Linked DNA regions of Macaca fascicularis. The protein of the gene in region 3 purifies or fractionates together with the protein of the main gene of each other region. This does not show direct contact. Links are inferred from orthologs where the notes say so. Each region holds a gene or a part of one and is shown on either strand. Other genes may lie near its edges. The genes, in order: BRD1, KAT7, ING4, JADE1, JADE3 and MEAF6.

What was found.
Region 1: the proteins of ING4 (region 3) and BRD1 purify together in Homo sapiens (affinity purification with mass spectrometry; 5 studies listed by BioGRID and IntAct, with this or other methods). This does not show direct contact. The link is inferred for Macaca fascicularis from reciprocal best matches to the Homo sapiens genes ING4 and BRD1.
Region 2: the proteins of ING4 (region 3) and KAT7 purify together in Homo sapiens (affinity purification with western blotting; 6 studies listed by BioGRID and IntAct, with this or other methods). This does not show direct contact. The link is inferred for Macaca fascicularis from reciprocal best matches to the Homo sapiens genes ING4 and KAT7.
Region 4: the proteins of ING4 (region 3) and JADE1 purify together in Homo sapiens (affinity purification with mass spectrometry; 4 studies listed by BioGRID and IntAct, with this or other methods). This does not show direct contact. The link is inferred for Macaca fascicularis from reciprocal best matches to the Homo sapiens genes ING4 and JADE1.
Region 5: the proteins of ING4 (region 3) and JADE3 purify together in Homo sapiens (affinity purification with mass spectrometry; 3 studies listed by BioGRID and IntAct, with this or other methods). This does not show direct contact. The link is inferred for Macaca fascicularis from reciprocal best matches to the Homo sapiens genes ING4 and JADE3.
Region 6: the proteins of ING4 (region 3) and MEAF6 purify together in Homo sapiens (affinity purification with mass spectrometry; 5 studies listed by BioGRID and IntAct, counting the BioPlex papers as one, with this or other methods). This does not show direct contact. The link is inferred for Macaca fascicularis from reciprocal best matches to the Homo sapiens genes ING4 and MEAF6.

Annotation. Positions count from the first base shown.
Region 1 is NC_088384.1:1,729,638-1,733,791, reverse strand, and holds the start of BRD1 (bromodomain-containing protein 1), read right to left. Parts: upstream 2,801-4,154; 5' UTR 2,448-2,800; intron 2,350-2,447; exon of another isoform or gene 688-2,349; intron 1-687. UniProt on the Homo sapiens protein: Scaffold subunit of various histone acetyltransferase (HAT) complexes, such as the MOZ/MORF and HBO1 complexes, that acts as a regulator of hematopoiesis.
Region 2 is NC_088390.1:56,883,167-56,885,372, forward strand, and holds part of KAT7 (histone acetyltransferase KAT7), read right to left. Parts: intron 1,390-2,206; coding exon 1,243-1,389; intron 699-1,242; coding exon 592-698; intron 1-591. UniProt on the Homo sapiens protein: Catalytic subunit of histone acetyltransferase HBO1 complexes, which specifically mediate acetylation of histone H3 at 'Lys-14' (H3K14ac), thereby regulating various processes, such as gene transcription, protein ubiquitination, immune regulation, stem cell pluripotent and self-renewal maintenance and embryonic development.
Region 3 is NC_088385.1:7,574,393-7,578,433, forward strand, and holds the end of ING4 (inhibitor of growth protein 4), read right to left. Parts: intron 3,309-4,041; coding exon 3,142-3,308; intron 2,963-3,141; coding exon 2,848-2,962; intron 2,685-2,847; coding exon 2,576-2,684; intron 2,333-2,575; coding exon 2,185-2,332; intron 1,305-2,184; coding exon 1,243-1,304; intron 1,160-1,242; coding exon 1,120-1,159; 3' UTR 501-1,119; downstream 1-500.
Region 4 is NC_088379.1:133,880,415-133,883,914, reverse strand, and holds part of JADE1 (protein Jade-1), read right to left. Parts: intron 773-3,500; coding exon 655-772; intron 1-654.
Region 5 is NC_088395.1:47,145,887-47,149,386, reverse strand, and holds part of JADE3 (protein Jade-3), read right to left. Parts: coding exon 3,310-3,500; intron 1-3,309. UniProt on the Homo sapiens protein: Scaffold subunit of some HBO1 complexes, which have a histone H4 acetyltransferase activity.
Region 6 is NC_088375.1:197,413,481-197,417,606, reverse strand, and holds the start of MEAF6 (chromatin modification-related protein MEAF6), read right to left. Parts: upstream 2,801-4,126; 5' UTR 2,793-2,800; coding exon 2,703-2,792; intron 1,606-2,702; coding exon 1,490-1,605; intron 1-1,489.

The DNA.
Region 1 (4,154 bases), on a different chromosome or scaffold from region 3:
CTTCTGCAGAGCCTTGACAGTGACCACCATGGAAACACCCACAGGCCGAGTCAACCTGCCGCTTCCCCTCAGGGGCACTCCTCAAGCCCCAGTGAGACAATGGTGCTGGCCATGTCCTCCTCCTTTCCGAGCGAATCCGGATACGTGCAATACACCAAAGGGCATCTCTCTGTTCTCCCCGGCACACGTGAAGGTAGACACTCTGCTCAGGCTACACAGCGAGGGGCGGCCCCCAGGACCCCCTAGAAGCTTGCAGAGACCCTCACCAGGAGGGTTGCCAGCGCTGGCTCAGGTGCCTGAAGACTTGGTCACAGAGATTTAGGAGAATTTGCCGTTCCAGAGATGGGCAAAATCAGTGAGCTGCCACCCATACCTCCAGCTCCTTGTGGCAGAGGCCTCTGCTGTTCGAACACCACGGACTGTGTCTGTTCCCAGCTGTCCCCGGGGTGCCTCGTGTGTGGGCACCTCCAGTGAAGACCACCACCCGCCGGGCAGTGCCTCCCTCCAAAGCGCCACACTTCACTGACAGGAAGCAAAATGATTTTTCAGTGACTGACTCGCAAAACAAATATTCTCAGCTGAAGCCCAAGGCCCACTCTGCATCTAGCCCTGCAAGGTCAGGGACGCCTGGCCTCGGGGCCCAGGGGGAGCAGGGGCACCCGCAGCAGCCTGGCTTCAGAGCCTCACCCTGGGCCTAGATCTACTGGGCCTCAGAAAAAGCCCTCAGGGAGCAGGCTTCCCTCTGTGAGTCCCGAAAGGAAATCCCAGCCGACTTCAAGGGCACTTCTTAAGACAGACCCTCCAGCCACCGTGTATCTTTCCCTGTATCAGACAGAAATCCTCATTGTATGTTGAAACTAGATTGCAATTACCTACAGAGAGGACAGGAGAGAAAATGTGGTCAGCCAAACCTCAGCCCCCTTGCATTTCTAGGGCCTCCAGGTACCCACTCAACCCTGGATTCCTGGAGAGCTGTCAGTACAGCCCAGCCGGCCCTGGGAGCCCTGCAGAGGTGACACCACAGCCTGCAGAGAGCTACCCTAGTGCACCCGGGACGGCGACACGCGTCATTACTGAGGTGGGGCAGAAGCAACAGTTGGTTACTCACCAGATCAGAAACGAACCTGTAATTTTCCCTCGACAGCAAAGTCCTGAGTCGCCCTAACGACAAGCAGCCCCCGGAAACCCACTCTCTCCCAGGGAGCCGCGAAGCTCTTCATCTCAACACTTTCTACAAGGGGGAGAACTGAACCGAAGGCTTCACGGCCACAGCAGCTCTCAACACGGAACTGGGACCCGGGGAGAGTAGACCCTCGGCAGCGCAGGGCGACCCACGCCCTTCCCTGCTTCCCCGCTTCCCCCCTGGGCCGGTTCTGTCCGTGCTGGGACACGCATTTCCACGGGGAGGGATCCGCGGAGGCACACACGTCGCTTCTCAAGGAATAATTCCCTTAAGTACATCCTGAAGAGCTCTGCGGGCCAAAAGCAGGGAAGGCTGCTGCCCACAAGACGGCCGCTTCCCTCTTCCCACCGCCCGCCCAGGGAGAAGCCGACCACGCGCCGGGCCGCTCCCTAAAGGCCACGGGAGCCGCGGCCGCTGAGCTGTGCGAAGTTGTGTGAAGCACACGGCACTCGGGACGGCGCTGGGCCAGGCAAACAAAAACCTCCGCCGATTCCACTAACTACACAACCACCTGGCGACCGACCCTCAAAAACAGACCCGGACGGCCGCGCTTTCTGGGGGACGGGCCCGCACCCCGCGGGGCAGGGGCTCCTGCTGCTGAGGATTCTCAGAACTCCCGCGTCCGCTCACAACAGCCGCGTTTCCCGTGAACTGCGCTTCAATCGTGTCACTCGTTTAAAAGGCCCGGGGAAGCCTCGCGTTCGTCGCGAGGCGTCTCCCTGCAAACGCCCGGGGAGGCGGCGGCGCCGGTTCTCCAGCCCGGCCGCCGCAGGCCGCGCGGCTCCTGGGCGATCTCGGGGCGCGTCCCTGCTCACAGGGAGTTCCCGTCTGGGCAGAGCTCGGCCGGCCTGTCTGTTACATAAGGGGCGGCCCGGCCGGCTCGGCGGCTGCCCGAGGCCCGACCCGACTCGAGCGCGGACTCCGGGCGGGCGCCGCGGCCCAGGCCGCCGAGACCCATAGCCCGACTCGGCCTCCCTCGACTCCCCGGCCTGACCTCCCCGGTCTCCCCGCCCGGCCTCCCAGGCTCCCTGCCTGTCTCCCCGGCCGCCCGGCCCGAACTCCCCGGTCTCCCCGCCCGGCCTCCCCGGCATCCCGGGCTCCCGGTCCGCGGACAATGCGGAGCCGCCGCCGCCGCCGCCGCCAAACATGGCGTCGGCACCACAACCCCGAGAGGCCGGGCCGAGGCGGAGGCGGCGGCCCGGGAGGCCCGGGCGGCCCGCGAGGCGGCGGGGAGGCCTCCACGGCCAGGCCTCCGCCCACTCACCTTCGGGGCGCCGCGGCCGCGGGAGCCCGGCAAGCGGGCGGGCGCGGGGGCCGGCGCGGCCGAGGCGGCGCTAATGGCGCCCGCGGCTCCTCCGCCAACGGCCGCGCAGGCCGGGCCCCGCCGCCGCTCCTGGGCGCGGGCTCCTCTCGGCCGCGGCGGCTCCGGGCCCGGCAGCGGCGGCCGCGGACTCTCGGGCGGCGGCTCGCGCGGCGCGGGCTCGGGGCCCGGCTGGAGGCCCGGCTCGGGGGGCCCGGCCGGCGGGCGCGGGCGGCGGGCGGCGGGCGCGGGACGCGGGGCTGGCTCGGACGCCAGGGCCGGGTCGCTCGCTCGCTCCCCAGCGAAGCAAACAATGCGGCGAGCGCTCCGCCCGGCGCGCTGCGTGCGAGACGCGCCCCGCCCGCCGCCGCCATGACGCGCGGACTCCGCCGCCTCAGCGGCGCGCGGGGGAGGGGGCGTCGCGAGGAGCTGGGGCCAAGTGGGGACCCTGAGGCGGCAGGGACCGGGCTGGGAGTGGGGGGTCGGGAGGATGGAGAGTGGGGGCCCTTGAGTTAGGGAGGACCGGGCCAGAGGGTCCCTGAGGAGGTCAGGAGGATGGAGAATGAGGGGCCCTGAGGCAGGGGGACAGGCCTAGGAGTGGGGGACCCGAGGCAGTTGGGGAGCAGCCGGGAGTCGGGGGCCCTGAGGCAGAAGGGCATTGGCCCGGGGTGGGGTCGCTGAGGCGGGGGGACGGCCCGGGAGTGGGGGACCCTGAGGCAGGGGGTACCACCGTCCGGGAATGGGGGACCCTGAGGCCGGGGGACCGGCCGGGAGTGGGGGACCCAGAGGTGGGGGTACCGGCCGGGAGTGGGGGTCCCTGAGGCAGAAGGGCATTGGCCCTGGAGTGGGGGGGCCCTCGAGGGCGGAGGGGGGAGCAGCCGGGAGTCCGGGGTCCTGACAGGGGGGACCGGCCAGGAATGGATGGCCCTGAGGCAGGGCGATTGGCCCAGGAGTGGGGGGCCCTGAGGCAGGGGGCGATTGGCCCCAGAGTGGAGGGCCCTAAGTGGGCAGAGGGGACCCTGTGGGCCCACTGGGTGGAAGTGGAAGGGGCACTGGCCGGGGCACCCGACTAAGTAGGGGAAGGTGGTGCAGCCGGGCTGGGGAGCCTCCCCTAGTGAGTGTCAGGCCAGGTGTGCAAGTAGTCCTGCCAGTGTGAGGGCCCTGCCCAGTCCGGCGTGAAGCAGATGCCCTTTGAGGTTGCAAGAAAAGGCCCCTGCGGGCGCGAGTTGAGAGGCCTGAGTCTCTGCCTTCGCTTTGGCCTTTTGTGTAAACTCTAAAATTCAGTGGGGTCATAACAATTTTCACTCCAAGATTAAGTCCCAAAATGTTTTAAGGTGAGGCAGGAGCTCCTTGGTTTCCTTGAGAATCTGTGATCAGGACGATGGTGCTGTGGAATCCCTGGGTTCCAGCAGCCCAGCCTGTGGCATCTAGGCAGGCCCCTCGGGCGGAGCAGCTGTCCACCCTGGGACAGACCTTCCCCATGGGGCAGCAGAGCGGCCCCACTGCTCAGGGCACTGCATCAAACACCTTATTGGGAGTGGGGTGGCTTTGTTCACCCAGGTGTCCCTGATGGGGCAAAGCCCCACAGGCCTTTTCCTGGCCAGCCCTCATGCCCATGGCACCGTGCGTGGGTTGTGATGTGAAGACTTGAGGGCAGGTAGGACCCCAGCC
Region 2 (2,206 bases), on a different chromosome or scaffold from region 3:
ACAATGGGAAAAAGGATTATATACTTTCAACTCAAATGCCTTTACATAGATTCCAAAATAACTAACCACCAAGAAGGAATTGCCAAAGGTTTAACAACATATTAGGGTATAAAAAAATACTATCTTTTGACTTACAAACGACTTTTCTATCTAATCCATTCTTCCTACTTTACCCTCAGTGAGAAATGAAAATCATCGCTCACCTACCTTTATTGTATGTGTGAAACAATTTTAAAAATTAGAAGTGAGTATGAGTTGAGACAGCATTTGTGAAGATTCCTCTACAGATGGGCAATTTCCTCCCATGTAAGAAAATCATCAAATGACAGAAGTGCTGTACAACATAAAGCTGCTTAACTGGAGCTGCTTAACTTGTGTCATCCAAATTTGAGACAGGAGCTTACCAAAACCTTCTGATACGGATAAGGCAATGCGGGCATCACTGCCAGCTACAGAAACGAGACCCAGGAAAAGGGGCATGTAGCCAAACTCCTTTAAGGGAAGGTTCTCTTGAGTCGTAAGGCCCCTACTTTGCTCTGCTAAGCCTTGAAGAACATCCAACAATGAGCAAGCTGCTGATGAAAACCTTACCTGTCTCTTTAAAACGAGGTGTTTTCCCTTCCAGTACTTGAGCATCTGAAGGGCTTGTAGAGTGCTGACAATGTCTACAGGATTCACAGCCGTCTCCTGACTGATTTCTGAAACAGAAGATCTACTGACAACCTGACCAAAGTGCAGGTTCCCACCCCTTTGCCCCCAACCAAGGTCTACTTTCCCTTAAAGGAAATCCAAATGGACAGAATCTTCTGTACTCAACCCAATCTGTTTAGAAGGAGTTTACAAAGTATTCATTTGACCAGTCCAAATAACTACAGAAGGATATTACAGCAAGAAGCTATTCTTGGCCCCTTAGAAATCAGGGTCAAATATAGACCAAACTAAATTGTTCCACCCCTGCATAAATACACAGAGATGTCTTTCTCAGAGAGATGAACCAAAAGACCTGAAGTTTTTCTTCTTGACTTTTACAAGAATTAGTGTTAGCAACTCTGGATTTGAGAAGCCAATTAATAACCATTCCCAGGGGCCAAATGCTTTGGATTCCTAGGCAACTTTAGTGAGGGTCTCTGCAGTGGTCCATTTTCAGTTGGCCTTCCTTTCTCATATTTAGGGGAAACACAATACCCACTAGAGTTAACTTCTTGGGCAACAATCAACCATTCCAAGGAGTCAAAAACCAACCTTTGATAGAAATCTCTTTGCCTTGGAAATTATGCAGGTAGCGGAGAAGTACTTCTTTCCAGTAACTGCGATAGCTTATAAGCCCCAGATCTGAGAGTGGACGTTCTGGGGAGCCAACTTTTTCTTCGACTTTGGAAAGCAAATAACCTGCCAGGGAACAAATACAAACTTTTTCTAGCAGCACTAGATCTTACCCGAATAGCAAAAAACAGTGTGCCAACATGCAAGAAGGTTTAAGAAGCACAGTCCCCTCTCATTCCAGGGAATGTGTTCCAAGACTCTCAGTGGAGGCCCAAAACTGTGGATAGTACCAAATCCTATATATGCTATGTATTTTCCTATCAACACATACCTATGCTATAGTTTAACTTATAAATTAGGAACAGGAAGACAGTAATAGTAAAACAGAACAATTATAACAATATACTGTAACAAAAGTTATGTGAAGGTTGTCTGTCTCTCAAAATATCTTATTGTACTGTACTCACCTATTTTTGGACCGCAGTTGACTACAGGTAATTGAAACTGCAGAAAGTGAAATGGCGGATAAGGAGGGCACTACTGTAATAGGCACTAAAAGAACTCCGGGGCCGGGCGCGGTGGCTCAAGCCTGTAATCCCAGCACTTTGGGAGGCCGAGACAGGCGGATCACGAGGTCAGGAGATCGAGACCATCCTGGCTAACACAGTGAAACCCCGTCTCTACTAAAAACTACAAAAAAAAACTAGCCGGGCAAGGTGGCGGGCGCCTGTAGTCCCAGCTACTCGGGAGGCTGAGGCAGGAGAATGGCGGGAACCCTGGAGGCGGAGCTTGCAGTGAGCTGAGATCCGGCCACTGCACTCCAGCCCGGGCGACAGAGCGAGACTCCGTCTCAAAAAAAAAAACAAACAAACAAAAAAAAAAGAACTCCGGAAGGCTTCACTATTAATCATTTTGATAACAATGGTTCTCTATAGGTGTGTGT
Region 3 (4,041 bases):
CTCTACTAAAAATACAAAAATTAGCCAGATGTGGTGGCACATGCCTATAATCCTAGCTACTCAGGAGGTTGAGGCAGGAGAATCACTTGAACGCGGCAGGCGGAGACTGCAGTGAGCCGAGATCACGCCACTGCACTCCAGGCTGGCGACAGAGTGAGACTTTGCATCAAAGAAAAAAAAAAAGAAGTCAAGCTAATGTATAGTATAGCAGTACACATGTATAGCACAAATACATCATTTATTGGAAATTAAGTGAAAGATGTTTTATGGAGAAAAGATGCACAATTTACAAAGTTTTGGAGACCCCTGGTCTGAGGCCCACCCTCCAGCACCTCTGTCTTTCCCAAGTTGAGAACTTGTGGGTTCTCGGACAGAGGCGCCACTCTGGTTTCATGTGGTGTCCTAATTCTGGAATGCCATCCTCTCACATCGTATCCAACCCAGAGGATGCAAAAAAAATGCTCAGCACATTTACTAAAACAGCAATAAACACAGCAGGCCAACATGTATAGCTTTTATTTACCTACCCAAGTTCCTTTTACATGTGAGTTATCTGCATTCCACCTTGCCCCCTCTCCCATTCACAAGGCCAGGATGAATCCTCTTGGCACAGAGGAAGGGGTGCCCCTTCAACTAGGGCCAGAGCCTAGATGACCTGGTGGATCCCCCACCATGAAAAAAGCAGGAAGGGAATGGAGAAGAAAAGTGTTGATCACACCTAGCCCTCACCACAGGAGGAGGGGGAATGAAGAGGTCTGGGGGACTGCCCCCATGCTATGCCCCAGTCCTTAAATACAAAGCAAGGGGAATGAAAAGGACCCTCCCTCTGAAATACAGCACCAACCTCAGCATGGAGGCAAAAGGACAGTGGGCAAGACCACGTCCCTCCGAAGGGAGAGGACTGAAGGAGAGCACATACCGTCAGTGGCTGCGGCACCCCTCCCTACCAGGGTTTGATGCAGCCTCAGCACCGGGAGTAGGGAGAGGGGAGGAGAAGGGATGACAGTACTGTGCCATCCACTTCTCCCTGAACCCCTGGCCCCAGCGCAGGCATTCCTCTGCCCACTAGCCCAAGTCAGGGGATGTGGAAGAAACTGTGTTGGAATCCAAGGCCCTTATCTATTTCTTCTTCCGTTCTTGGGAGCAGCGTGGGCAAAACCTGGAGAAGGGGAGAGAAAAGTGAGTGAAAGGAGAACGCCCTCGACCACTCAACTTAGGGACCCTCCCACTCCTGCCACTTACCATTTCCCCCGAGGCTTGGTCGTCAGCCCCACACAGGCAAAGTGGAACCACTCAATGGAACACTGGAGAGGAAGAAAGTAGTAGTAGTTAGGGGCCGGGATGGGCCAGAGGAAGGAGAGAAAGCCCCTCCAGATTCCTTAGGAACATCCTGTCCTTTACTCCATCCTTTTGGAGAATTCTTGGAAGTCCCAAGGCCAACCAGTTCCAACCATTTTCCTTCTATTCTTTTTTTCTTTTTGAGACAGAGTCTCACTCTGTTGCCCAGGCTGGAATGCAATGACATGATCTCAGCTCACCGCAACCTCTGCCTCCCGAGTTCAAGCGATTCTCCTGCCTCAGCCTCCCGAGCAGCTGAGATTACAGGCACATGCTACCATGCCTGGCTAATTTTTGTATTTTTAGTAGAGACGGGGTTTCACTGTGTTGGCCAGGCTGGTTTCGAACTCCTGATCTTAAGTGATCTGTTCACCTTGGCCTCCCAACGTGCTGGGATTACAGGCATGAGCCACCGCACCAGGCTTTCAGGTTTTTTTTTTTTTTTTGAGACAGAGTCTTGCTCTGTCGCCCAGGCTGGAGTGCAGTGGCCGGATCTCAGCTCACTGCAACCCGTGCCTCCCAGGTTCAAGCAATTTTCCTGCGTCTTGCCTCAGCCTCCCAAGTAGCTGGGATTACAGCCGTGTGCCACCATGCTCAGCTAATTTTTCTATTTTTAGTTAGAGAAGGGGTTTCACTACGTTGGCCAGGGTGGTCTCAAACTCCTGACCTCACGTGATCGCCTGCCTCAGCCTCCCAAAGTGCTGGGATTTCAGGCAAGAGCTACCACGCCCAGCCCATCTTTCTTCTATCCTGAAGTCCCAGTACTCAGCTGTGGGATTTTTCCTCTCGTACCCACTCCCTTCATGCCCCTCACAACCCCCCATCCTGAGGCAAAATGTTTCTCACATCAGGGTTGTCACAGCCAATCATCTCTCCATAGGAGACCTGGTGACAAAGGCAATAGGTGGGTTCGTTGGGATCCACAGGCATATCCAACACATCAGAGGGGTGGACACTGCCAAAGGTCACTGAGGGCATCCCATACTCAGGACTTCTGCATGCCAAGAGGAAGAGAAAGTGTCATCTGCAGAAAGGGAAGCTAAAGCCTGAGGCTTTCGGAGGTGGCAGGAGATCCTGGTAGGGCAAACGATTTGTGGCTTCTCCAGCAGATACCAAAACGGTAAGAAGAGTTCTTGGCGCAGAGATACAGAAAACGGCAGGGGGCGGTGCAGGCTGGGAGTGGGGCACCGGGAGAGAAGAGGATGTCATCTAGCAAAGGGCTCCCTGATACACTCACGTGCGCACGAGCTTTAACTTCTTCTGGGCAGTCTTGGGGGCTTCTTCATCTGAGTTTTTCCCTTTGGAACGAGCACGAGCAGCTTTCTTCTCCTTTTGAGTCCGGCCTTCTAGGGAAGAGGAGGAAAGCCAGAAGGCAGGGAGACGGAAAGATGGGTTAAGTCCTCTTCTCTCCCCCTTTCCAACCTGGTGCTCCACTTCCCACCAGATGAAGAGCTGACTTCTCCCTTTGAATCCTCGCCCCACCTCTCACAGCCCCGCCCCCCTCCTCACTCTTTTTGCCTTTGCTGGAAGAGCTGTCATAGTCACTTGACTCAATCTGTTTCTCCTTGAGATCAGCCTCAAAACGGGCCAGGTCTGTGTCCAGCCGCCGAATGTGTTTGTCCACCTGGGTGGAAAGGAAGGAGAAAGGAGAGGTACAAAACTATCTCCAATTAAAGAAAATAGGTTAAGGCAGAGTTTATGGATCTCACAGACCCCAAACAGATCCCAGCATAGTTGAAGGAAGGGTCTAAGACCCTGAGGATTAGATGGGAGGTAGGTGGGGAGCCATGAACAGGGCCATACCATCTCATAGGTCTGCATGGCAAGCTGCACCTTGTCGTCACCAAATTCCTTGCACTTGCCATAGGCTTCCTGGATCTGTTTGAGAAGGGCCAATTTTTCCTCGGAGCTCAGGCTGCGGGCGCTACTCATATACTCAGTGGCCAACTTGTCAATTTCAGCCTTCAGGTCTACAACAGAGACAGAGGCCTGGTCACAATGGCCCCTGGGTGGCTAGGTGAAACACATTTCTTCCTCTTGTTCTTTGCACCTTTTCCATCGACTAGCATCACCTTCCCACTAAAAAGTACTGCATGTTCAGAGGTACTGTGCCATGCACTCAAGTAATGGAACATACTGATAATATTTGCCTTAAAGGTCCGTTCAAGGTGCTGAAAACATTGCTATCATAGTGGGAATTTAAATTATTGAAACACAGCAAGGGATCCTTTGCACACCACATTAATACGAAGTATATTTTTGTCCATGTTTGAAGATGCTTCTTTGAAGGGCTTGCTGCTTCTTGAATTTTGTCTCAAAAGCCATTGTTTCCTTCTCAAAAACATCCCACAGCAGTTCTGTCTGCCGCAAATCAGGCTGAGTCATCTGCTGTTGCTGGTTTCCAAGTCTGTATATCAATATCCTACATTTTATTTTATTTTTTTTAATATCCTACATTTTAAAATTATTAGTATTTTTTCTTTTTGACACAGGGTCTCACTCTGTCGCCCAGGCTGGAGTGTGGTGGCATGATCATGGCTCACTGCAGCCTCAACTTCCTGAGCTCTGGTGATCCTCCCATCTCAGGCACCACCACGCCTGGCTAATTTTTTCTATTTTTTTGTAGAGACAGGGTTTCTCCACATTACCCAGTCTGGTCTCGAACTCCTGGACTCAAGCAATCTGCCTGCCTCAGCCTCCCAA
Region 4 (3,500 bases), on a different chromosome or scaffold from region 3:
TCTTTGCCCTTGATCTCCAAGTAACTGATATGTTCTCCAGAGTAGAGGAAGTATATACCCTAGTTTTCTTTGTCTGTTTGCCTAGCCCAGGGCAATATAAAATAGAAGACACTAAATAAATATTTGGTGCGCAATCTCAGAAATATTCAACAACCCATCTGCACCAAAAAAGCCTACTGTAAACATTATCTAAAAATGAACTGTGTTAAGTACAGTCTTAAGAGATATTTACCATATTTACCATGTTACAGATAGAACCCATGGCTGAATATAAACCTGTTAGGTACCCCCATGATGTGTTTACCAAGTACTGTGTCATCTATAAGTCACTGTTTCATTTTAGTCTCTCAATTCCAAGAGGTAGCTTGAGATATCCCCATTTTGCACATGAAGAAATTGGGGAGACTCAAAGGCTTTCATGTGTTTGCTCAGTAAGCAGAGAACATAGGATTCTGCCCATATTTATAGAGGGCAAATTCATAGCTTTTTCCCTTAAACATGATGCCTCAAATTAAAGACTGCCTTTAAATATGAACGTCTATGCTTCTTAAATTCTTCTATAAGAAAATTAAGAAATCATTATTTCTTCCTCAACAGTGTTAAAGCTTACAAACTCCTGCCCTATACTTTGACCTACCAGGGCTTAATGCATACCTGAAACTCTTTCTTGCTCCAAAAGCTTAGTGTAAAGATTGAATATCTGTTCCTGGACTTTGCACACAGACCGTTTAATCTTTTCCCTGCGGGTCACCATGTAAGTGAGGTTCCGAACCTAGAATGTAGAGAATAAAGATTCTAAGTAAGCAATACAGTATAACAGTACTTTGGTGCTTTTTAAATTTCTTTACCTAAGAGAAATTACTCCTACTAGGGCCTTGACAGATACTTGAAATCAATATGTACTTTAAACATTTCATCCAATCTTTAATCTCATTTTGGTAAGGATTCCACATATACCCCTGAATATAGGCAGCAGCAACACTGAAGAGGGTCAGGGACCCACAGGAGTGGGAGGGACACCTAGAGAACTGGTACAAAAGTCCTGCCTCCTCCACCACACCTAACCCATCCTGGCACAGAGGCCATTCGTGTCCAAGTCAAAACTTGCAACCTCTTGCCAGTCTTTGATTATTATTGCATCAATATCTTCTATTACTTGGATGGCCAATGGCTTTAAAGCAGCTCAGAAGCCACTTCCGCTGCACTTTATCAACTATCTTCTGAAGGCTGAACTAGGTCAACATGGGGCCAAGGGTCATCAAAGTGGAGCCCCCTGCACCAGGCCCACTGGAAGACCAAATGGTTACCAAGAATCCTAGTGAATGTCTTTGTCAACTGCACACTGAACTCACTGAAAGGCCTGGAGTTAGCAGGTAGTTTATGTGTTGCTATGAGGTGTGCAAATGCCTAGGAAATTTCCAGCTTTGCCAATGATGTGCTGGTTAGACATCTCCAGTCCAGTTCTTCGTATCATCACTTGAAAAACTGGTATTGCCCTCTCCTGATTCACTTGTAACTGAAAAGACTCAGTGCTGAGAGTTGGCTCTACTTCCTATCTGATGTGCGACTGCTTTGGATCACATAACCCTAACGTATGCTCAGTAATCAACATTCAGATTTGTTCCCCACCTGTCATCACTCAATATACAAAATTTAAAGAATTAGTCTCTAAACTCCCTTAATCCTTCAGTCCTAAAATCTATTGGTCAACCTGATTAGATTACATGGGCCTGAAAACACAGATGTCAGACACAGCACACCAAATACACAATTAAACCCTTCTTCAGGAATATGTAGACAAGACTTCCTAAGTAATCTCACTGGCAGGAGTGGTTGCATGTCTTTATCTGACCACATCTTTCCCATTAGCTCCTACAGGCTGGCCTTCACTTTCCTAAAAAATCCCATTATGAGCAAACTTTTCCCCTGCCACCTTTAAAATTTTTCCCCATAAACTCAATAAAGTAGTATCACCCTAGTTTAAGTGAAAAAAGTCCAAAGGTCACCAACCTTTTCTTTTGGCATTGAGGACATCAACAAGCATCAACAAGCCTTGTGAAGACACAAAAGATTTTGCACTCTGGTGTAGTCTAAGTGTAGACTAAACCCTAACAATTCCACTTGTGCTAAAGGCAGTCTCATTTGCAAAAGGACATGAAGCATTAAGAGAGACCGAACACAGGCTTTCCCATTTGCATCACAGTAAAATCTCCTGGCCTCAACAGGAAAATGCCAAGTCAGGCTTCTCCTGCCCCTAACCAATTCACTTTCAGGATCTTCCCGTCTTTTTTTCTGTATCAATCCCTTATGTCACTAACATTTCCTGTCTTAATTATTTTAAAATTAAAGAATTGAGAATAAAAACACTCTCCCTGTCTCATAGTAAATATTACACGGATGTCAATCAGCCTAGTTAAGGTAGTCTCTTTTGTTTTCTGACAGTTGCACACCCTCAATCCAAGAAGCAGTGTCCTTTATAGAAATTTTCACCAACTTGCGAATGGAAGTGGTTAACAGACTACTCTCTTTGATAATATTGTTCTACCCAGGGGAGATTAAGAGTGAAGCTCAAGAAAGAGGGGCCAGACCTAGATCCATAGCAGATTCAAAACTTCTAGGAAACAACCGTTTTTACATTAACAAGGAATCTCACTCCTGGAAATAAAAAATGGAAACAAATTCTGACATCTTAGGAGCAGACAGGTTGCTCTCATATTCAAATCAGATGTGTAACAGAGACACTTATATCTCTCTTACTTGAAATTATCCTTGAAAATGGAAAACAGGGAAGCCAGGGAATTTGAACTTTGTATATTATTCAAATTTAATTTTGGTAGCTTTGACCAAACCATGGCTGCTACATAGAAAAATCCCACTCCTATTCCTCATGATCTCTGATGGGAAATATCTAAATGTAAACCCAAAAAGCAAAGGGCATGGTTTTCAATTGGAACAAACCAGCCTAACTCCACTTTATAGTAGTGAGGACTCTAAACCTGACTTCCCTTATGCTCCCGGTAGGACAACGCTCAGCAACCTCCACCTGCAGAGCTGGACTGATGCTCTCCCATCCTCAAAACACACCCAACTTGTCCCTTCCTGCACCCACTGCACCCGCTGCACCAAGCTCCCTACCCTGCTTTCTCTTCTCCCAACTGCCTGCAAGGAGGTATCTGAAAAAAACCATTTAAACCATCTCCAGGTACACTCTCACACCACCTTAAACCTGATCATCACTTTCCCCTAGAGCAGTGTCCCTAAACGGGACATGGGGTACCCACAAAACAGAACCACCCTCTGGAGGTGGGGCCCATGACTTTGCATTCCTAAGTTTCCGGGTCAGACACAACACCCTGAGGACCACTGCTCTAAGAAATCCAAAAGTGGTTTCAGTGTGCCTTCTTGAATTCAAAACTGTTTGCAGCACTAAAGTTCAACGTGCCTTTTTTTCAGGGGACACTGTAGACACTACCAGATTTTCAAAGGTGACCATTCCACTG
Region 5 (3,500 bases), on a different chromosome or scaffold from region 3:
TAAAAGGACTTGGAATGGCCCTAACTTTCACATTGTTTTTTGAGATGGAGTCTCACTCTGTCACCCAGGCTGGAGTGCAGTGGCGCAATCTTGGCTCACTGCAATGTCTGCCTCCTGGGTTCAAGCAATTCTCCTGCCTCAGCCTCCCGAGCAGCTGGGACTACAGGTGCGTGCCACCACACCCAGCTAATTTTTGTATAGAGACGGGGTTTCACTACATTGGCCAGGCTGGTATCGAACTCCTGACCTCGTGATCCACCCGCCTTGGCCTTCCAAAGTGCTGGGATTACAGGCATGAGCCACTGTGCCTGGCCCAACTTTCACATTTTTTAAAGAAAAAATGGTAAATTCATTGTTAAAATCTAAAGGCTACTTATGTACACATCTCTTCTAAAGTACTGACTATAAGTGTATTTTTGTCACTGAAGAACAAACACTGAAATGTAATATGGTGTCAGTAAAGAAGAAAAATCATGTTTAATAAATTCAGATGTCAACATGTCCCCATTCTGTTAGGGAGTAAACCAAAGCTTCCAAAGCATTTTAAGTCACTTTTCAGCCAACAGAGGGAGCTCTAAGCTAAGTATCTCTTTAGAATCCAAGTAAATATACTTACTTTGGAAGAATCTCTTATGTGAAACTTTATAGGGTACCAATGTCCCAGCTTTAATACATACCAGTTTACATTCTGCAAGGTCTTGTCAGTTATTGTCATCTCATCTCTTTCTATGTGAGAAAGGGGCATCATTTATAGTCATTACCGGAATCGTTTTCAAGACTAATAAATAGCATTGGAGATAATTACGCTACATTTGATTTTGTTAAAGAACCTGAGAATACTTACTATTTTGTCCCAACTGTAAAGGACAAACATAGGAAATATATACAGATGACCTTTATGCTATTCCTTTTAAGCCTACTACAGATCCACAATCATTTATCTGAAACCTCTAGGGTAAGAAAAATTAGGAAATTCAGAATTGCTCAGATCTTTTTTTTTTTTTTTTAAATTTTTTTTTATTTTTTTATTTTTTTTTGAGACGGAGTCTCGCTCTGTCGCCCAGGCTGGAGTGCAGTGGCCGGATCTCAGCTCACTGCAAGCTCCGCCTCCCGGGTTTACGCCATTCTCCTCCCTCAGTCTCCCGAGTAGCTGGGACTACAGGCGCCCGCCACCTCGCCGGGCTAGTTTTTGTATTTTTTAGTAGAGACGGGGTTTCACCGTGTTAGCCAGGATGGTCTCGATCTTTTGACCTCGTGATCCGCCCGTCTCGGCCTCCCAAAGTGCTGGGATTACAGGCTTGAGCCACCGCGCCCGGCCGCTCAGATCTTAAGAAAGTATATATATAGTATATGGCCTAAGCCCCCAGTGGGACCAGGGGCAATACCATATAACCAAACACATTAATAGTTCTCTAACAAAATATATGAGTATTTACATAAAATGGATAAGGACTACAAATGGCCTCATACTGGGTGGGTTCTGGTATTGTCCTCAAATCAGTTCTGGTGTGAAACTTCAGCAAAAACGTGTGGTTTTCAGAACTTTATAATTTTGGAATTGCAAAGAAGGGACTGTGGGCTTGTATCGTGAGATATAATACTTAAGTTCATAGTTAAGTGGTAAACATTTTCTGCTGTCACTTAAAGTCTGATATAAATGCCAATAATTGGTAAAGTGAAGACAAATTTTCAAAATTTACTTTGTTAAAGGTAAATGAAGAAAAAGACCCAATTGGTCACATAATAATTGTGAGTACCTTTTACATACAGGGTGGTTAGGTTAGGTGGCACAGGGAATTAAAATAATCTTAAGCCCTGGTTTCTATCTGCTATGTTATCTATTCTAATTATTTTAGTCATTTTATAGCCAGAATGATCTTTCTAAAATACAAATCACATCCTCCAGGGTTGACAGGACAGAACTGAAGTTCCTTAGTTTGTCAGAAGGTCCTTTACACACGTCTCTTGTATCCCTCTCCACCCTCACTCTCCATGCCTTCCCTACTCTGCTCTGCCACTTTATAGTTTCTGAAGCCTTCAGTTGCCTCTGACATACTTTGCCTGCTTTCACTACCCTGTATGAACATTTCTCCTCTCTGCCTGAACACACATTGCTGGTTTACTTGACATCTCCTTTTGGACATTAAGATTTAGCTTGGATGCCACCTCTTGGAAGTTGTCCCTGACCATCATTTCTCACAGATGCACTTCCACAGCAGCTTGGACTTATATATATAAAAACACTTGGCACATGATGCTAAACTGGCAGTTTCCCTATATTTCTTACACCAGACTATGATCTCCCTGGGGGCAGAGACCATGTCTGCCTCTCTTCATCACTGAGTGTGTCCTCAGCATGCAGCACAATCCTGGCCCATGGAGTACTGTACCTATTTGCTAGATAAATTAACAAAATGAATGAAATATAAACAGGTTCAGAAGAATGAAAAACCACTTAGGGCAAGGGAGTTCAAGAAAGGATCTGAACTAGACCTTGAAAAATATGTAGATTTTTGATAGCTGGGAGATAGGAGGAGGCATTTACAAATTGGAGTGCAGCTGAAACATGGGAGATAGGACAGTGTCAGGAATATTCATCACTGCACCTTGAGTAACCTTACTTTGTTGGAGCATAGTGCTTGTGGGGGAAAAAATGGAAAGAGCTGAGAGGAGGGTTGATATCATAATCATTATTAATTAAAAAGGCAGTGTAGTAGAAAGAATGACAAATAACCAGCTTGGGTAAAGTTACTTCACCTCTCCTGGTATTATGTAAGATTGAAGAGTTACACAGTCTTTTGCAGTCCTAAAATTCTGTGATCTTTAAAAGTGGGGTGGACCTTCTTAGGAGTGGCATGTTTAGGGGATGGGGGAGGGTCTTGAGTGCCAGGATAAGGAGTCTGGACTTCTATCTGTAGGAAGTGTAAACTCACCAAGGTTACTGACCACGGGTGTAACCTCATGAGGCCATGGAGATTTGAAGGCAGAGGAGAGACCTCAGACAGGCAGCAATGAGATCCCCCTGGGGCAGGGGCCTAGGGGAGAACTGAACAAGGCAATCCCAATGGTCTGGGCACAAAGTGACACAATAAAGACCTGGGTTTAGCCCCATGGGGTAAAGTTAGTCAGCAAGTCATCTTGGTGGTCATAAGAAGTATTGTTTCTAGAGGAAATACTGAAGAACAACCAGGCCAAATCTTTATTTTCACCCTTAAATGCAAGCCGCTACCCAGATATGGGTGCTGGAGATCATCACTGAGCTTGAGAAAGGCTGACCGTAGGGAGGTGATGGTCTCCACTCTCACTAACCTGATGCACACAGACGTTACACTTATCACAGAACACCATATCATTCCCTTCTTCACTGTCTGGAGACCGGCACACATCACAGATCACATCTTCATCATACTCTATGCCTAGCCCTTCCTCTGTCTCAATAGCATGGTTCATATTTTCATGGCAATGGCGTTCCAGGACTTCTACTGTCTTTTCCATAAGAT
Region 6 (4,126 bases), on a different chromosome or scaffold from region 3:
GTTATATAAAACACACCTATTGGCCGGGCGCGGTGGCTCAAGCCTGTAATCCCAGCACTTTGGGAGGCCGAGGCGGGCGGATCACAAGGTCAGGAGATCGAGACCACAGTGAAACCCCGTCTCTACTAAAAATACAAAAAATTAGCCAGGCGCGGTGGCGGGCGCCTGTAGTCCCAGCTACTCAGGAGGCTGAGGCAGGAGAATGGCGGGAACCCGGGAGGCGGAGCTTGCAGTGAGCCGAGATCGCGCCACTGCACTCCAGCCTGGGCAACAGCGTGAGACTCCGTCTCAAAAAAAAAAAAAAAAAAAAAAAAAAAAAAAAAAAAAAAACAACACACCTATTGGGGAAAACTAGATGAAGACTACAAAAGACCATTCTGCCAACTCCCTATGAATCTATAATTATTTCACAATTTAAAAACGTGAAATGTAAATACAGGTGTGTGCTTATATTAATATTATAGAGAGTAAGAGAAAGCAAATGTCACAACACATTAACAATCTGAATACAGGTAGGACAGTATCAAGTGTTCATATACTATTCTTCCCATTTTTCTATAACTTGAAGATAATCCAAAAGTTTAGAAATTTTTTAAAAATATTACTAAGCAAGCAGTGGTACAGCTGGCACACAGGTATGGCAAAAATTGTGAGGGTCAGTTGGGCGTGGTGGCTCACCCCTTTAATTCCAACACTTTGAGAACCTGAGGCAGGAGGACTGCTTGAAACCAGGAGTTCCAGGCCTGCCTGGGCAACAAAGTGAGACCCCACTTCTACAAAAAAAAAAAAATGTTTTTAATTAGTCAGGTGCAGTATTGTGTGCCTGTAGTCCCAGCTAATTGAGAGGCTGAGGTGGGAGGATCATTTCAGCCCGGGAGTTTGAGGCTGCAGTGAGCTAAGATTGTGCTACTGCACTCCAGCCTGGACAACAGCATGAGACCCTGTCTCTTAGAAAAAAGAAAAGTGGCCAGGCATGGTGGCTCACACCTATAATCCCAGCACTTTGGGAGGCCAAGGCAGCAGATCACCTGAGGTCAGGAGTTCAAGACCAGCTGGGCCAACATGGAGAAACCTCGTCTCTACTAAAAATAAAAAAATTAGCCAGCCATGGTGGCATGCGCCTGTAATCCCAGCTACTCAGGAGGAAAAAGAAAAAAAGAAAAGAAAAATACTGTGAGGGTAGAACTCACGACTGATTAAAATGTGTAAAAAATTTAATAGAGTGATGTTGTATAAAGATATTGTTATATGCTGTATTTAAGCCTCACACAACCCTGTGCCAAAGGCCCAACTTTTGCTATTTTACAGACGTGAGCTTTGTCTAAGATTATTCAGTGAGGCAGTGCCTGAGCCAGAGTCCAAGAGTTCAAGTCCAGACCACACCACCACTTTACTACTGCCTCTAGCAAACTTGCTACTAAGAGCCTACAGTCCTACAAACACACACAATAGGAACACAATAGGAACACTACAGGCTTTCGACACTCACTTTTGGTTGGTCAGATACCGATCCCAGCCACGAATAATATTGCCATACATCTGAGTGTCTTCCAGGTAGCTTCCCTCAAAAGCATAGATCTGTCGCTCCAAGTTTGCCAGTGTTTCCTGAGAGATGAAAAACAAGGACATGAATAATGCCTTTTAAATGCAAACACTTAAGTCTGACCAAAATGAAATCCTGATATTAGATTTGTAAACGCAAGCTTGTCCACACTAAATCACCCTGTGGAGAGATGGATGATATGGGGAGGAGCAGCCGTTTAGGACTAAGACAGTCTAGACCTTTGGGTGTGATGGACCTCTGAATGTATAAAGCATGTCCCCAGAAAAATACACACACACGCGAAATTTTGCATATACTTTAGAGGATTCACGGAAACCAGGAGTCAAGAACCCAGGCTAACGCAGAACTTGTGCGATATCCACTCCCACGCACAAAAGGTATCGCTACCAGGAGAGGGAAGGGTGAGCAGCCTTTCAGCGTCAACTCGCTCCCCTCCCCGCAGGCTCAGAGAGGCCGCCGGCACCGGGCTGCCAGTTGCTATGGAAACCTGGAAGGGCAGCTTCAGGTGAGAGGGGCCTCCGGGGTGCCCAAGCCGAGACGTGAGGGCAGGAAGAGCTTAGCCACCAGGGTGCATTGGGCCTTGGGTGCCTGTCACAATTCCGAATTCTCCAGAATGTGTTCTTCTCCCTCGCCTGTCACCTTCTAGATATTCCCAAACACATCACAACCCTGTCTATCAAAAGCCTCCATTCAACGGATCTACTACTAGTACCAAAAAGAACACGCTCCCCACCATCCTCCAAAGTCCAGACAGGGTGACTCGGTCCCCCTCCCACACTAGCCTCCTACCCCACCCCCACCCCGCAAAGATCACGGACTCGCCCGCCTCGCCCTTCCTAGCGCCCTCTCCCCGAGTCCCGAGCCCCGGCACCGTCCTCCCTCCACGCCCCCTCCTGCGGCTGCCGCTGCCCCTCCCCCTCCCGCGCTCCCAGCTCCCTCCCGGCTCCGGATTCGCACAGCCGGGAAGCTGAACCGCCGGCGGGCCGCAGAATGCGCACCCGGCCTCAGGCCGCCGAGCACACAGCCCGCCGCGCCGCGCCCCCGGAGTAACGAACGGCCTGGCGCAGCCGGGCTTGGGGCCTGGAGGCGGGGCGGGCGCGGAGCCCCATGCCGGGCAACCCCGGTCCTAGCCCCTCACCGCCAACTCCTGCTTCCGCTTCACGAGCTCCGCCAGCTCCCGCCGGGTGTCCGGGATCTGCGGCGGCGCCGCCTTGTTGTGCATCGCCATGTTGGGCTGAGGCGGGCGGCGGCGGCGCGAGGTTGGGGGCGGTCCCTGCGCCGCCAGGGGGCGCCCCCCGCACTGCGCCTGCGCGCGCGGCTTCCGGAGACGCGTGCAGCGCCGCGCAGAGGTGCTCTGCGGCCGGGACTCTGGACGATCCTTCTCGGAGAGGTCCAGAGAGTCGGCTTCTGCTCTGCCCTTTACGCCGTTTCCTGCCCCTCGGCTGGCCGCGGGCTTTACAGACGGCACAAATCTACCGTGTCCAAAGCCTAGCTCGTCCTCAGGCCTCCGAGTCTCCTGTGCGTCCCGCCTCAGTCCACTTCAGTGAATGACTTTCACTATCCACCGCAATTGCCTGCGTCAGAAACCCGGTTTTCCTCACTCTGCACCCGGAGTAAAACGCGATACCAGGTCAAGCCCTGTGGATTCGACTCCGGAAGAGCTCGCGAATCCATTTGCTTGTGCCTGCGCCTTTTGCCACCTTCTTAGTTCATTCAGGCCCTCCCTGTTTGGGGCTACGTTATTCCAACAGCTTCTTTATTTCCACCTTTAGCCCCATTTAATCCACTATCCACAGTGGTGCCGGAATCTTCCAGAAACAAATGTTATCACTCCCCTGTTTAAAGCCTTTCAGTGGCTTCCCATTTTCCCATTGCCCTTTGGAGAAACAAGTATGTGTAGTGGTTAAGGGCACAAAACTGGAGCGAGAACTACCTTGTTCAAAATCCTATCGCTACATCGATAAAGTGTGCCCCTTTGGGTAAATAACCAAATCTCAACTCCCTCATCTGTAAAATGAAAGCAGTGATAGAATCTACTTAATACAGTTGCTGTGAGGAGTAAATCAGCTAATGTGTGTAAGGGGTTTGGCAGGTGCCAATGACTCTGCAAGTACGAATTCGCTTTTATCGTTAAGTCCAAGGTGTAGACGTTGTTTTCACTTGGCCCCTGTTGATTTCTCCCTCCTCAGCTCTCCATCTTTCACTCTTCTGCAATTTCGCTATCATAAGTCTAAGTGGGATATTTTTTCTTTTTGTTTTGTTTCTTGCTTGGAAGTCTTTGGATTTCTATAATCTGTGGGTTGGTATCTTCCACCAGTTTTGGGAAATCGCAGTCATTTTTCTTCAGATGCCTGTCTCATATTCTCTCTCTTTCTGGAACTCGAACATAAGAAACCTTTATTTTTAACCTACCGTCTATATTTTCTATCTTTTTGTCCCTCTGTGCTGCATTCTGAATAACTGGTTTCGTGTGCGGATCTTGTAACCTGCCATCTTGCTGAACTTCCTTACTAATTTTAGGGGGGTTTTGTATAGATTCCTTGGAATTTTTTACATAGATAA